3 linked regions of the Drosophila melanogaster genome follow. The gene in region 3 interacts genetically with the main gene of each other region. Each region holds a gene or a part of one and is shown on either strand. Other genes may lie near its edges.

Region 1 (5,480 bases), on a different chromosome or scaffold from region 3:
TTGCTCCGTCGGCTTCCATAATTTATGCAGAAATGCAGTCGAACCCAATGAAAAGTGTCGTTCACAAATCTAGGCGGTAAATTGCTTTTTGCGATTTCCAATGCACACCCACCACACGCAAATGCAAAAGTTGTCAATCAAAAATGGTCGTCAATCATGGTAGTAGTTGTTAGAAAGGAAGAGAGTAGGAAAATGTCTTTAAAAATATTAAACAAATTTATTTTTCAGTGGTTACTTCCTACAATTACGCTTATAGAAATACAAGGAAGGTTGCCAAATACCATAAATATATGTATAATTCCTTACCTTACAATCGAGTGACCACTGTAATTCTTAGCTGGGAGTAGAGAGAATGAGAGAGGGCCTGGAATGCAAATTACTATTATTACCGGACAATTGCCCTGTGCTGTGCGAGTGCATTCAAAATATTTGAAACACCACCCGAAAAGGGAAAATTGAATGGCAAGAAAAGCCGGCTGATTCATCCCACTCTAAATTATTGGGCTTACACATTCAGCAAATAAAAATGGGAGAAGGGTCGAGATTTATAAATTGGACCACATGTTCTCGCCCAGTTTTTCTACATACATATAGTATTGTATTGCTCGTCACGTCTCTGCAGCATCCTCTGCAATTAAGGCAAGGCTAGGGAAAATATACAGTCCAACATCTATAAGGAAGTACTTCCCTAAATTACAGATAGGTTGTAGTGGCACTAACTATTGCCCATTCTATATATATTACCCTTTGAACCCATCAACACCTTATTGAAAATTATTTTTTTATTATTCTGATCTGCTAGTTAAGTAAAATTTTTACTGATTTAATTTTTGTAATTTCTTGCTGGTACGCATTACTGATGTTTGACTGTATCCAACTTGCTTAAGCTAAGAAGCCATAATCCTCCTTCCGATTGTCTGTGCTTCTTCCGGGGTGCCGGAATCATCACGAGATGTAAGAAAGCCCCTGAGTCATCCATCAATCGCTGGACTAACCCTCAGAGCAAGTGCCTCCATTACCCTTCTCGGAGTTTCAGGTGCACTTGCTGTATGGATGGATAATCATCTCCTGGGGAATTGCTGCCAAGCAGCTCCATTTGCCGATTAGCCGACAGACCACCAGAGCACCACCGCACGTGGTAACGCTCGTCGGCACCATTTGAGTTATTCTGGAATTTATGTATATGCTACTTCGTAATTGCTTATCAAGCAGCTCTGCAGACCCACTGGCGTGCTGTTTTCTAATCTGGACCAAGAGAAAGGCCATTAAAACGAATGTCCAGCTGGAACGGAGTGCAAACTGCTTTGTGTAATGGTCGTCAAATGGCAATGCAGGTGGTAATTTCGTTTAATTGTTTTTACTGGCTACGTAGACTGCTTTGAATGTTAACCTAATGGTGGGCGAATGGGAACAAATTGATAAAAAAATTAAAGAAAATGAATATATATATATATATATAGGTTCTATATTAGGTTCTGAAAACAGTTTTTTATTTTTTCAAAATTTTTTGGTTGTACCACCCTAATGTATTTTCACAAATTCTGTTGATCTGGAAACATTATCTCTGCAAACTGCTCACCGTTACTTCTGTTGCGCCTGCTCTTTCGCCTTCCAGTACGAAAAGCACCGTAAGTCTCCAAAATGCAGATGAATGGAGAAGTGGACCGCGTTGGCGAGGGATCCAAGAATATTGGATCACTTTCCTCCAAGCGATGGCCGCAGTCACAAGTGAATTCCCCAGCAAACCGATCAGTTATACCAGCACCAATACTTCCGCCAAAACCTATTATCTTAAGTCCGTGAAAAAGCGGGTGACCACGTGTTTCCAGCAGTTGCGCGATAAACTCCAGTCATCCGGTTCCTTTCGCAAGAGTTCCTCCAGCTGCCTCAACCAGATCTTCGTAAGGTCCGATTTCTCCGCATGCGGCGAACGCTTTCGGAAGATCTTCAAATCGGCGCGAAAAACCGAATTGCCGGAGTTGTGGAAGGTGCCATTGGTGGCCCATGAACTCACCAGCCGGCAGAGCAGCCAGCAGTTGCAAGTCGTAGCCAGACTCTTCTCGTCCACTCAGATTTCCACCAAGGAAATCACCTACAACAGCAACAGCAACACCAGCGAGAACAACATGACCATCATCGAGAGCAACTATATATCCGTGCGCGAGGAATATCCCGATATAGATAGTGAGGTGCGCGCCATATTGCTGAGCCACGCCCAGAATGGAATCACGATATCGAGCATCAAGAGTGAGTAGCTTTATGTTTGAAAGCTTTCTTCTTTCCAGAAGTTTCGACTTCATCAAACACTTCAGAACTTTCTCTAAGTGGCTATATTTAGTTAGAAATCTAAAATGTATAAATTTTTAGTAGGTTATTAAATTTTATTTGGATTATATAACTTTTATAGTTTAGTATATTTATTTTAATTTATATTTTTTCTATGTTTCTTTTTTGTAAGATTACCCTTAAATAATTCTATAATTGAAATTCGCCAGGTGAATATCGAAAACTGACGGGCAATCCATTTCCACTGCACGACAACGTGACGGATTTCCTGCTGACCATTCCCAATGTGACCGCTGAGTGCAGCGAGTCCGGTAAGCGGATCTTCAACCTGAAAGCGAGCCTGAAGAACGGTCACCTCCTGGATATGGTGCTCAACCAGAAAGAGCGCACCAGCGACTACAGCAGCGGAGCTCCGTCCCTGGAGAACATACCACGAGCACCTCCACGCTACTGGAAGAATCCCTTCAAACGGAGGGCTCTGTCCCAGCTGAACACCAGCCCGAGGACCGTGCCCAAGATAACGGATGAAAAGACCAAGGATATCGCCACCAGGCCGGTTTCGCTGCATCAAATGGCCAATGAGGCAGCGGAGTCGAACTGGTGCTACCAGGATAATTGGAAGCATCTGTGAGTACTGAAAAGGTGTTTTGTAGACAGTGCAACTATAGCAAAAATAAACCTTTACTTAACAAAATGTACTAATCTTTCTACTGAACTCCTAGCAACAATTTCTACCAGCAAGCCAGCGTAAATGCGCCAAAAATGCCAGTACCCATCAACATCTACAGCCCCGATGCCCCAGAGGAACCAATCAATTTGGCTCCACCTGGGCATCAGCCAAGCTGCAGAACCCAAAGCCAGAAAACCGAACCGACTGAAAACCGCCATTTGGGCATCTTTGTGCATCCATTTAACGGCATGAACATAATGAAGAGACGCCACGAAATGACGCCCACGCCAACGATTTTAACCAGTGGAACCTACAACGATTCTCTGCTGACGATTAACTCGGATTACGATGCCTATCTGCTGGACTTTCCGCTTATGGGCGATGATTTTATGCTATATCTCGCCCGAATGGAGCTAAAATGCCGATTTAGGCGTCACGAACGCGTCCTGCAGTCAGGACTTTGTGTATCCGGACTGACGATCAATGGCGCCCGAAATCGTTTAAAAAGAGTCCAATTACCCGAGGGTACTCAGATCATCGTCAATATCGGATCGGTGGACATTATGCGCGGCAAGCCTTTGGTTCAGATCGAGCACGATTTTCGGCTACTGATCAAGGAGATGCACAATATGCGATTGGTGCCGATTCTAACAAATCTTGCACCGCTGGGCAACTATTGTCACGATAAGGTATTATGTGACAAAATCTACCGATTCAACAAGTTTATCCGAAGCGAATGCTGTCACCTAAAGGTCATCGACATACACTCCTGTCTAATCAACGAAAGGGGCGTGGTGCGATTTGATTGCTTTCAGGCGTAAGACTTTATACCATATACCATATCATATGAGTTTACGATTTGTGCCACTTTTCAGCTCACCACGCCAAGTCACCGGTTCCAAGGAACCCTATCTGTTCTGGAACAAAATCGGTCGGCAGCGCGTACTGCAAGTTATTGAAACGAGTCTGGAGTATTAAGTTGGGTTCTTAATCAAGATACATATATGCAAATTTTGACTGGGCTGGCACCGGAACCGACAAAATAAGAACTTTTTGATGATTTTACGATTTACGCTGATGGATCGCTGCTTTTACGGAATTCGCTTAGTTTTAATATGTTTTATATGTAGTATGTTCTCTGTCTTTGTTTATTTATATGTTCGTGCACTTGTCCTAGTCCATTATTGTATATTATTGTGTGTTTTGTGTTCTATGTTAGATTTAAACTTCTCAATTTTTCGCTGTCTGTGATTTGTTTTGCCAATGCCATTGATTTTCTGCACACTTTTTGCTGCTATCCCAAAAGCTGTGTAAAATAATCAAATGCAAAATAAGCGCAAGCAGCTGAAAACTTCTCTTCAAACTTTTCCGCTTTTCCCAAAACCATTTTGCTTTGAAATCTGTTTTTACCAAATCAGATTAAACTGCAAAATGGAACTTAAATGCAAATCATTGCAATGCTTATAAACTGTTTTTTGTTCTATATACTTTTGTGTGGGTCAAAATTCGGCATGCTCCTGTATCACACAACCTGCCACTTGCCCTTAAAAAGAAGGGCGCAGTGGGCGTGGTACGTATACATATGAGCCATGCTGCATTTTGGCCGTAATGAAAATGCACTGCTTTACTTGGAAAATTCGCTTGCACAAAATCAACGCCGCGGCTGATTTATTATTGATGTGCTCAAGCAAATTCAAGTGAAGCATTTGCGCGATTTTCGTCTTTCTGTTTCCGTTTGCAAAAAAGTTTATAAAATGCTTACACTCTGCTGCAGACACGCCAACCGGAAGTGCGCACTAAGCGCTTGTTTGTAGCACAGTGTAGAATTCTGGCGTAATTTACAGCTCTACTTTAAAGTCTTCTAGATAGCTATCTACTATTTATAAACTTATTTATTGTCTTGAATGTATGTTAATTGTATGTATTGATGGTGATCACGTTTTTTTTGTCCTATAACAAGCTGCAATGTAAAATCCAAAAAAAAAATGAAAAAATAAAATAAAAGGGAAATCAATGATTTTGTTTGCTCTAAGCTATGTTCAAAGTAACTGGGAACTAATCGAACTAATTTCGATTTAAAAGTGGTCTAGATTATATTGTGACATTTGTGAATATATTATTATATTTGCGAATTTATTATTATCATAAAAATAACGGTAGTTGAAAAATAATTTAGATGGCATGCAATATTAAAAGTTCCCGCCAAATTGGCTTGAATCTTTGCTAATATATTACAGTTTCCAACCTTGCATTAAGTTCACGATAGTTTTTCGGCATTTTCGATTGTAAAAGCATAAAAAAGTCCCTGCTATCGAAGCTCTACCACCTCCATCAGCAGGCGACGGCAAAAAAATCTTGAAATGTAAGCAGTAACGTCAAAATTCGCTTTCAAATCGTTAAACGTACGTTCTCATTCGATTTCAGAACAAAATGGCTTCATTCTTGGCACGAACTGGCGGCCCCCTGATCGAAACCGTTAGGCCAGCGGCCATAAAAAAGGTGAGTTCGCCAATTAGTAGTCATA
Region 2 (6,305 bases), on a different chromosome or scaffold from region 3:
TTTTGTTATCGTTATCGCGGGTTAAACGGTCACTGCATTTGCCAGTTGAACGAACTTTAACCGCATCTCTCGCGTTGAGTGCGTTTCGTTTGAGTGGATTTTGCTCTCTTCTCTATCGACAGGGTTGACACCTAACATTTTTAAAAGAAACAATCATGGTCGGAAGAAGAAGAGAAATTATATTTATAAATGCGAAAGCACGTTGGTTTTGAAACGTCCTGCACTCAAAAATAATCGATAAGTCACTCAAAAATAAAGTTTATGAGCGAACACACGCATTGAAAAAGCATGTAGGCAACTAATACAGACGCAGAAAAATTAAAATTCCAAAAATAACTCATGGCGACGAATAGAAACGCAAAGCGAGTGACGAAAAAAGGGCCACCAGGCGTCGAAAGTGAAATGCGTACCCTACTATTACGAAATTCGTAGGAGCTTATTGGTTTCAGTATACGCTTTAAAACTATTTAATACTTTTTTATGTCTTTCTCTCTATTGCTAAATCAAAGTTTGTTTTTAATTTTTATTAAACATGGTTTCTTTATTTTTTAATTATCAAATTATTAGCAATTACATACATAAACGTAGATGTACTTAAAATTTAGTTGTATTCATCAGTTTTTGTATAATAGTCTGTGTGGGCGTTGCATTTGTTTGGCCGGCGTAAAACGCGACCACGCCCACCCATAAAAAATGCGACGGATCGCTGAGCCGCTACGTGTACTTCCATTTTCTTTCGTTTTTCTTCTTTGTTGCTTTTGTAATTGTTGTACATTTGTGTTGTTGCTGTTAATGCTGTTGTTGTTGTTGCTGTTCTTATTGTTGCTCGTCCGGTAAAATGTCTGCAGGAAGCTCAAGAACCGGTCTAAACCGGGAGAAAGCCGTTTTGGTGGATCGTAAACCCTATGGCCATGGCTAAAAATATATATTGCTGGCTGGTTGTCACTTCCGTAGGCATGAGTCTATATATATAATGTATGTATGTATATGTATGTATAATGTATAATGTATTTTATGTTGATTGTACAAAAAATACTTAAATAAATATGTCTGTTGTCAGGAGCGTTTGTTTTCTTTAGTTAATCCTCTTGACCTGTATCTTATAAATCACTCACTACGTGCTCGTTGTTTTTTTTTTGTTGTTGTTTGCTGACGTCGACTGGTTTATCTGGGATATAGCTTAAAAACTAATTTACTAAATATGTAGGTGGAGCGTAAGTACATCGAAAATATTGTTTTTCTTGCAATATTTTCAAAGTTCTTGCCGCCGCGAATACAAGAAGTGAACGTCTTACGTAAATTCTATGTGGCATAAAAAAGAGGCAACATGCCTCTCCAGTTTATACCAAATAAAGTTTACAATAGATTAGTTAACGCGGAAATACAAAAACATCGAAACAATAAACTATAGAATTTGTTAAGAAAGGGAAAACGAAAGTGTACAAACGAAACGAAGATTCAGGATGTCTTCTACACAAATGTTTTTGATTAAATAATTGGCGCTGCGGCCACAAAAAATAACTTAGCTGAATAATAAATCTCTGTACCTCGGTGTGTGTGTTTTTGGGTTCTAAATTATGATCTTCGTGTGTGCTTATTTTGTTTGTCTTGTTCAGCAAAGAGGAAAGAGTTGTGTTGTGCTGCGTTTGATTTTACATAATGGCGCACTTCTCGTTTGACTGCTGAGGATCGCCCTGCTGGTGGTAGAGCTGCTCATTGCCGTCCACGGCGGTCACGCTGCGACGACGACTCAGCCGGGAGGAGGATGTGTGTTGGGACACAATGCGCTTGATGCGATCCAGATTGGCCACGGCCTCGCCCTCGGAGTTCAGCAAAATCGTCCTAGTGTTGTCGGCGGAGACCCACTTCTGTGACTTCATCACAAGGCTCGATGGCGGCTCGTGCGAGGCCTTGGTGTCCGCCGACCAAACGGTGATCACGCCATTTGGCTCGATCCTCACCGATCGATGGAACTTGTAAGTGGTCGAAGGACCTTTCTCGTTGATTAGCCGCTGCAGCTGCCAGCCACCGATGGCCACCTCCTCGCTGCCCTTGTTGAACAGCCTTACGAACTTGCCCTCGGGATCGATCTCCTTGATCTCCACGTTGCCCTTGGCACTGGCGGACACATAGTAATCGGCGACGCTGTGATCCTCCGACTCGTCGACCACGGCGCGTTTGCGCTTCACGGCAGCAGAGGGAGTGCGACGCGATGGCGTGGCTCGCGTGGAGTTGCGCAGCGACTGGCTAAAGGACTGCACTGTGGCCGTGTTGGTGGCTGGGGTGATGTTCAAACGAGCCTCCTCGCCCACCAGCAGCTTGTCGTATGCGGCGATTTCCAAATCCAGGGAGACCTAAGCAGGATAATTAGATTTATGTATTAATACGTACACGATTTTAGACAAGTATTAAAGCTAACCTTGATGTCCATAAGGTCCTGGTACTCCTTGAGCTGTTGCGTCATCTCTTCGCGCAGCCGAATGAGCTCCTTCTCGAGAAGGTCTATCTCTTGACCGTGGCGTTCGCGATCGTTGTCCAGCTGGCGCTCCAGATCACGGATCCGCGCATTGAGGTCGGCATTGGCTTGCTCCAGTTCGTTGATATTGGCGTTGAGCGCATCGATACGCACACGAGTGGAGCGCAGCTCCTCGATGGACTTGTGCGTGGAATTGGATGTGCGTGCGGCGGCCTCTTGCAGTCGTTGGATCTTGTCCTCGTAGAGGGACTGGATTTCATCGCGATTAATCTGCATCTGCTCCTCGTACTGGGCGCGCAGCTCCTGCAGCGACTGCTTCAACTTGGCATCGTACTCGGAGCTGAGGCGACCGTCGATCTCGCTATACTCTGTCTGTTTGATGCGGCGCGACTCATTGATCTCCTGCGAATGGATCTGATCCTTGAACGAGAGCTCCTCGCGCAGACTCTGAATGGTGTTCTCCAGGTCAACGCGCGACAGTGTCTCCTGTTCCAGGTTCTTCCGCGTTTCCTCGAACTGCTTACGCAGTCTCTCCAGCTCCTTTAGCGCCTCATTCAGGTCTTCGTTAAGCTTCTTCCGATCGGCGTTGGCCTGGTTGTATTTGTTGTTCAGCTCGTTGGCGCGCGACTCGTACATGCGGACATTGCCTGCGGGTTGGGATAATCAATCAATTAATGTTCGTTAAATGCCAGAATAGGGATGATTTTGTCACAGAAAGTGAGGAATATCATGGGATAATCATTATATACAGTTCAGCAACTAAATGAATGTTTCGTTCTTGCTTGAAACCACGCCTTTTGTCTCTTCTTACTTTTAATTTTATCATTACTCTACTTTCTTTGCCCTACAATTATAAGGTTTTCTTATCGATTCAGTTTCCACGCACTTACCCTCAGCAGTGGTGCACTCCTTGGTCTTCTTGTCCAGCTTGTTCTTGAGCTCCTCGTTCTCCTCCCAGAGACGCTTGATATCGATCTCGGCACGAGCGCGATCCCTAGCTGTGTCATCGAGCAGACGGCGCGTCTCCAGCAGCTCGGCCTCGAAGATGTTCTTGATGTTGGTGGTCTCGCGTGTGACCGTGTCCCTGGTGGTCTGCACCTCGATGGTGAGGCGGGAGTTCTCCGTCTCCAGGTTGCGCACCCGGTCAATGTAGGTGGCCAGGCGATCGTTCAGGTTCTGCAGCTCCACCTTCTCGGCCACGCGCGAGTGCCGGGTGGGGCTGAGGGGGCTGGAGGCCGTCTGCGAGTGAGTGGACGGCGGCGGCGGCTGCGGACCCGCCGATGGCGGCCGGGGGGTGGAGGTGTTGCCGGGCTGCGGCGTGGCGGTGCCAGCACGTCGGGATTTGCTCGACATGTTCACGCTGCAAGACAAATGAAATGTGCAGAATAACACGTGAGATTTTTGTGACTGACCTCTTTAGGACACAACACTTGAAGAAAAGTTGAATAACACAATTGCGTGCCTTCTAAACGCGTTTTATATGCAATACTTATATTTGAACTTTTTCGTTCGGTGTAGGGTATGTTATTTTTGCGCCCTGATAAAATTCCAAACAGAACCGAACACGAAAGAGGGGAAACGCACAAAACGCTCAAAAACAGAAGCTAAACGAGTTTCTCTAACGCGCTCTCTCTCTCTCTCGCAGTCTCCTCTACGTCTCACTCACACACACGCACATCGCTTTCCACTCAAGCGACTGTACTAAAGCGGACGAGGAAAACGAAGTGAGTTTGTCGGCGTTTGTTTATGGGCGTGGAGGCAAATGGCGCGGCTAATACTAGTTTAATCAATCGCAACGCTTAGCTAATCCAGTCGACGCACTTTAAACGATTTGATAAGGAGCCAAAAATTGCACAATATGGCGATTTTAATTCAATATTTACAGCGACTTTACACTAATACAGGCAGGGGGGTTATTTCGATTTTGAGTGAAACAGTGCCGCCTCTATTGTTCGGCACTTAATCAGTTATTTCAACTTTTTCTACAAGTTTTCCTAATGCTCGTAGATAGCAGCGCAACTCACCTGACTTTTTATAACGAACGGAAAATGCACAAATTTGAAAATGAAGTATCTTGCAGCAGGAAAACGCGGCCGACGCTGGAACGTGTAATCGAATTTGTTGCGATGGTTTCAGAGACTAATCGATAACTTTCCGGCATGCCTGGTGTGACCAAACGCCGCGCTAGATAAAAGACTAAGAACCGCTTGACCCCAAAATGATAAAAAAAAAATTAAATTTAAGCTCAACAAGCCATTTTAATTTAAAGCGTTAGAAGGCATATATTTTATAAAAACTTTTTAGTTGAAGCTTACAAATGGATTTGTTGTGCACAACTATCGATAACTTAACGATATCACCCGGCTCAGCTCGCATGAGTTCTTAAACGTACTTCGGTCACACTGCTCTGCGCTGTTTTTTCCTCCGCATCACGTTAAAGATTTTAAAATAGTTAATTTCACTTTAAAAGCTGTATTTTAAAGTGATAAACGTGCACAAAAGGTGAGTTTGACACTGAAAATCACACTGCACTAAATAAAATCGTCGCTTGTAATGGGTATTTCGTTTTATTTCGAAATACATGTAATGCGGTGCGGTGAAAAAACAAAATGGCGGAGGGAACGCCGGCACCGGTTCCGCAAAAAAAAGCGGCATTTTCTTTAACAAACACATGTAACTTATCTAGTCGCACCCATTTTATTTCCCAGCATTTAGTTGCGAATTTATAGCCGATAACTAGTTAAAGGTAAGAAAGCCGCAGAAATGGCCGACAATGACGATCTTTTGGACTACGAGGATGAGGAGCAGACCGAGACCACTGCGGTCGAAAACCAGGAGGCCCCCAAGAAGGATGTCAAGGGCACCTATGTGTCCATTCACAGTTCCGGCTTCCGCGATTTCCTCCTGAAACCGGAGATCCTGCGCGCCATCGTGGACTGCGGCTTCGAGCATCCCTCGGAGGGTGAGTACTTGCACTCCACCTGGAGTGACGAAAGGTACAGTCACTAACGATGCTCTCCGCTTGCAGTTCAGCACGAGTGCATTCCGCAGGCCGTACTGGGCATGGACATCCTCTGTCAGGCCAAGTCCGGCATGGGTAAGACCGCCGTCTTCGTTCTGGCCACGCTGCAGCAGCTGGAGCCGTCGGACAACAACACCTGCCACGTCCTGGTCATGTGCCACACCCGCGAGCTGGCCTTCCAGATCAGCAAGGAGTATGAGCGATTCTCCAAGTACATGCCCACAGTCAAGGTGAGTCTACGTTTTAATCCATTGTATATAATTCAACAAAAAGTTTGGTTCGACTATATAGTTACTATATATTAATTCGATATGTTTTCTATTTAGGTGGCTGTCTTCTTTGGCGGAATGGCTATTCAAAAGGACGAGGAGACCCTCAAGAGCGGCACCCCGCATATTGTGGTGGGCACCCCTGGCCGAATTCTCGCCCTCATTCGCAACAAGAAACTTAATCTGAAGCTTTTGAAGCACTTTGTGCTCGACGAGTGCGACAAGATGCTGGAGCAGCTGGGTAAGTTGACTAATAATCACCAAATGACGGACGTTTTACTAATAACCAAACCATTCTTTTAGATATGCGTCGTGACGTTCAAGAGATTTTCCGTAGCACGCCGCACGGCAAACAAGTGATGATGTTCTCTGCCACATTGAGCAAGGACATTCGTCCCGTTTGCAAAAAGTTCATGCAAGATGTAAATATCAACGTGTTCATAACCAAAATGCTCGTACTTCTCCACCTCGCATCCACCGCTATCACGACAATTAGTTATTATTTTGTTAATGCCACGCGATATCGAACATTCGATCT
Region 3 (4,898 bases):
CTGGCGAGCAAGAATGAAGACCAACATCGCTTACATCGGGTGGAAATTTAAAGTCTAGGGGGTGAACGAACACCAGTATAACAGTCAGTATATAACATATAACACCTTCAAAATGCAGGGGATGAATTCCGAGAAGGGTGTGCATTAATGTAAGCATCAGAAATGAGGGCGAATAATGCAAGATAAATAACAAAAGCGTGCCACAGAAGTTATATTAAAAGTGGGTGTGAATAAAATGTCAGTTACAAAATTGTAATTTTTGGTTTTAGAGTAATTCGTACCTACTATTAAGTATACTATTTGTTCAATACTGCTTTCCAAGACCTTTTTACTATTCAGAAGAAAAGAACCCCAAATGTTCATAAATTCATTTGCACTTTTGAAGTTCCCTACCCAAATTAGTTCCAAATTGAGAAGACAATGACTGTAGAGATGATCAGGCAAAAAGTTTGTATGCCGAGTTTTTTTATTTTTAGAGAACAAGAGTTGAAAGAATTTTCCTGACCTCAATTTGGCTTACAAAAAATTTTAAGAAAACAGTTAGAGGAAAGTGGAATTATACACAATTGTGTTAATCGAACTCGAACATTAGGAGATTAGATATTGACAATCATTCTTTGGGATTGATTTTTCGTTTCCTTTATGAATTCAATAATTTTCAACTTCCTTCTGGATGATTTGTATTTATTTCTTCATTACTTTCCCGCCATTTGAGAGCCGCTAAGAGTGTGGGAGAGATTTGGGCCTAAAAACTCGTTGATATTTCGCTTATTTTCGAGTCTTCGGTTAGGCAATTTGGCTCCAAAGTGACCTAAACCGACCCACTGCTAATGAGCCATTAACACGCTTATCTCGGAGGAGAAGGAAACATGGCTTAAAGACCGACCAGACCTGGCCAAAATTGGCCACGCACATGAGATGGGATTTTGACATATTGGGACTTCAGGTCTTTGGCCCAAAGAGACTCGGCACGTGAGCGTTAAAGCCAAAACACTTTGGGGTTAAGCTGGGGAAAATGAAAATGAAAGAGCAGGCGGCGCGCGAGTGGAAAATAATAGGAATTTCCTCAATTAGATTTCCTAGTCGCTGACCCCAAACCGGGCACGATGTACTGGAAAGTCGAAGGAAAAGCGGGGGAAAGACGAATGCAAATCGCATTAGGACGCGCGTTTAATCTGCTCCAAGGCATCGCCTTAACCCCGCCCCGAGGAAAATGGGGAAACCCACGAGAGGGGAGGGTGGGAAATCTAGGAAGAGGGCACCAGTAAAATGTTGCAGTAAACGATTTTCCATTTCCCGCTGGGTCAGCGGGTCATCGAGTGGGCGAGCGGGAAAACGCGAGATGAATGCAATATGGAAATCAATAAATAAAAACAGCATTTTCATTTAAGTGCTCGACGAGGAAATGGTTGTGGGAAAAGGCCAGAGAAAACCCCGTTCAAGTGTCGCCCATGAAAATGGAAAATCTTTCTTCGATGCGATGTAAATAAACAGTAAGAGTGCGACAACATTTGTTTATAGAAATGGAATGGAATTTAAAGTGCGAAATAGGGAAATACTTAACAAAACAAGGATCCAGAAATTGAGTTCTTTTATTTTCGACCAACTTGCTTGTTTTTCCTATTGGATTTAGACGTTTAAAAATACATTTTTTTACAGAATATAAAAGTTAGAAGCTAATTATCGAGTAATTCCTTTCTCCTGATTCATCACATGCTTTTCTTGTCCACATATCAATCCACTTTTCCATATTATCGATGCCAAAATAAACGATTGATTGATTGATTGAAAAATCAACCCACGCATTTTAATAAAAACAACAACAATTCAAATGTGCAGTTACACACACATAACTAAAAGGGAAGAGAGTGGAAAGCCGAAAGAGAAGAAGAGCGAGAGAGAGCAAATATTATCGCAGTTATTACGAAATCGCAATCGAAACATAACGGTAGATATAGATAGGAAAAGCACCAATACAATAAAGCGAATATAACCGCTAGAGGAAGAGGGGAAGAAGTGGGTGGGTGAAAAAGAAAGATCGCTGTCTCTTTCTCGCTCTCATACTTGCTGACTGCACAATTTGCAGTTAAAAGAAAGAAGCAGAACGGCCTGAGAAGAAAGACAAAGCATAAGAGTAACTGGCCAAGAAGAAGAAAAGAACAAGAAGTCAAGAACAAAATAGAAGAGAGCACACACACACACACATTCGTACGTACCCGTAGAAAACAGAGAAGGCAAAAAAGTCTTTCCTTTTTTTTACACTTTTATCCATTTTCAGTTGCATTTTATAAGATTCTTTAGTACAAACAATTTAACTTACTTGCTTTTTTTAGCAGCCACGCATGCGTCGAATGGGAATTTATGCTCCTTGAGACTCCAATTGGAATTTGTACCCCGGCTGCAAACAGTTTTTTTTTCTCTCTTGCTTTATTTCCACACTGCACACATACACATATGCAGCGGCACATACACACAAGTGCACGCACTGCAGTCGATTTTGTTTTTTTTGCATAAAACTTTATTTCATGTATGCCACTTGTACATTGTTTGTCACCAATTTGCGTATTTTGTACATCAAATTTTATTTTACTTTTCGTTGCCTTCCTTATTATTTTCCTAATCTTCACATGCACTTTTTTAGCGACGCCAACACACACATTTGCACACGCACACACATGGCGAGGATGAGAGAGGAGAAAGAGAGCAAAACACCGTTTTCGTTGCTTCCTTTTCGCTTATTCCTCTTTAGCCGCTTCTTTTCGATTCTGGCTCTTTTTGGCACTTTTAGCCCCAAGTTGCTAGCAATTCACTTAGCGTACGAGCACTAACAATTAAAACGAATAAGACTCGAAAAATACGATGGAAACGCGAACATATAAACAAAAATCTACATTGGTTTTATTGCAGCGCTACGCAGGTGTGTTTTTACGCGCTCATCGCGCAATTAAATTAGAACGCTGCAGATTTACTTAGTTCACTCCAGTCTGCCCAATGCGCGCCGCACACCTCGGAGCCGCAAATTATAAACACGACTGTCTTCGATTTAACGGGCTGGCCTATCGGTCCTATCGATGACTCGATAGTGCGAGCTGGAGTGTGACCATTTCTTGGTAAAAGCAAAATCGTGAAGAGTAAGTGTGCGATACTATCGAACTGTCATATACTCAACCAAATAACATCTGAAATCTGTTTCTCACTAAAACCGAAATTTCCATCAGGGTTAGGAAAATATAGTTTACGCACATCAAGTTGCATAGGTCAATCCTACGTAAAAAAGGCTCGATATAGGTAAGGTGGACCTCAGCCTGAACAGGGCCTAATGCAAATACATTCGATAAATAGATGTTATCGATAACCATTTGGTATATACCAGTAAATGCTTTGTTTTGGTTTTCATTCAGAAAATTGACATACATTTCTTAGTCTGCCTAAAGTTCCTTGGATTGAAAAGAGCAGTGCAGAATGTCGCACCGCCACCAGGACATTCCCATCCGCCCACGTTACGGTTATGTGGCCGAGGAGAGTGGCCCATCGGAAGGGGCAGCCAGGAGTTCTGGATCCGGAGCCACGCCCGCCTCCTCCTACACGGAAATTCCGTTCCTGGCTCAGTATCCGGGAGCGGTGCCAGAGCACGTGCTCCAGGATCTGACGCCCACAGCCACTGGCCATGCTGCGATTCCCGGAAGCACAAAGACAAGACCCAACGGCGAGAAATACCTTAACCTGGATTCGGGCGAGGATCCCGACGAGGAAGACGATCCCTTGGAGGAGGAGGACAACAGCAACTCGAATAGCAACTCTAAGGGCAGTTCCGGCGACATCGAAAGGCACAGACTGAAGGCAGAGAGCAGTGGGTTCTAGGTTATCTACCCATAGTTCCTGACTAAAGCATCTTCCTTCTTTCAGCTGTGCCCTACGAGCTGGACGGCGAAACCAGTGACTCCGACGGGATGCGCCACTTTGTGGCCCACGATCTAGAGGCCAAGTTGCGCGAGCGCGTGGCGGCTTCGGCCTACTCCTCGGAGCACACCACGCCCCTGAGCTCCATGGGTCCCATTGGAGCCACTTCCGGCAACGGTCTGCTCACGCGGCGGTTCCTGCAGTCGCGCAACATTCCCGAAGTGGACGGCAGCGTCTTGAGCGACATCGAACTGGAGGCTCAGTACTTGGCCAGCTCGGTGGACAATCTGATGGAAAACCTGGGCAACCTGCTGCACTCAATCTCCTCCATAACGGCCGACAACGTGGAGGTCCATCGCAACGCGGTCAACAAGCTGACGGACACTTTGGACGCGAATATCAAGTGCCAGTACCAATTGCTGGCCAAGGCGGAGGAAATCACCAAGTCGATGAAACCCACAGAGCAGCTGGGTCAGCGCATGTAAGTGGGTCAATTCAAGACAGATCCCTTTAGTGTAATGGACTTTCTCTTCCGCAGAAGGCAGATCAAGCGGCTGGTGGACATGTTGGACAGCACCATGTAAAATAGGGCTACGCTATCCTGTGATCAACCAATCAAAGAGATCTTGTCTTTCTAGTCATTCCGTAAATACATATAATCAGTGTTATAAAATCCATATGGAAAGATACCTTTCGCTTGTTTAAATCGTACTTATTCTAGCAGTTCCTCCAAAAAATCCACCTCCTTGGCTCACAGCTTCTCCACCTTGGCCTTGATGATCCTTAGGGGATCCACGGGGCGATCGTTCTTGTCGGTTTCCACCATGCCGATCCGCTTGACCACCTCCATGCCCGTGTAGACCCTGCCGAAGATCGTGTGCTTGCCATCCAGCCACTGCGTGGGCGCCAGCGTGATGAAGAACTGGGACCCGTTGGTGTCCGGTCCAGAGTTGGCCATCGAGAGGATGCCCGCGCCCGTGTGCCTCAAGTCGCCGTGC

Evidence for each region.
Region 1: of klar (region 3) and osk, changing one suppresses a phenotype caused by changing the other (phenotypic suppression), as found in Drosophila melanogaster (one study listed by BioGRID).
Region 2: of klar (region 3) and Lam, changing one enhances a phenotype caused by changing the other (phenotypic enhancement), as found in Drosophila melanogaster (one study listed by BioGRID).

Annotation. Positions count from the first base shown.
Region 1 is NT_033777.3:8,933,434-8,938,913, forward strand, and holds osk (oskar), read left to right. Parts: upstream 1-1,692; 5' UTR 1,693-1,712; coding exon 1,713-2,247; intron 2,248-2,282; exon of another isoform or gene 2,283-2,366; intron 2,367-2,495; coding exon 2,496-2,913; intron 2,914-3,008; coding exon 3,009-3,773; intron 3,774-3,831; coding exon 3,832-3,934; 3' UTR 3,935-4,962; downstream 4,963-5,480. Other genes in the region: ScsbetaA (Succinyl-coenzyme A synthetase beta subunit, ADP-forming), read left to right, coding at 5,387-5,455. UniProt on the Drosophila melanogaster protein: Organizes the germ plasm and directs localization of the posterior determinant nanos. Oskar protein is required to keep nanos (nos) RNA and staufen protein at the posterior pole.
Region 2 is NT_033779.5:5,540,856-5,547,160, reverse strand, and holds Lam (lamin), read right to left. Parts: upstream 4,682-6,305; 5' UTR 4,501-4,681; intron 4,383-4,500; exon of another isoform or gene 3,837-4,382; 5' UTR 3,830-3,836; coding exon 3,367-3,829; intron 3,124-3,366; coding exon 2,420-3,123; intron 2,355-2,419; coding exon 1,653-2,354; 3' UTR 519-1,652; downstream 1-518. Other genes in the region: Hel25E (helicase at 25E), read left to right, coding at 5,240-5,438, 5,505-5,728, 5,825-6,008, 6,071-6,189. UniProt on the Drosophila melanogaster protein: Lamins are components of the nuclear lamina, a fibrous layer on the nucleoplasmic side of the inner nuclear membrane, which is thought to provide a framework for the nuclear envelope and may also interact with chromatin.
Region 3 is NT_037436.4:537,579-542,476, forward strand, and holds the start of klar (klarsicht), read right to left. Parts: upstream 3,037-4,898; 5' UTR 2,321-3,036; intron 1-2,320. Other genes in the region: BORCS6 (BLOC-1 related complex subunit 6), read left to right, coding at 3,463-3,850, 3,907-4,381, 4,439-4,484; Cypl (Cyclophilin-like), read right to left, coding at 4,652-4,898.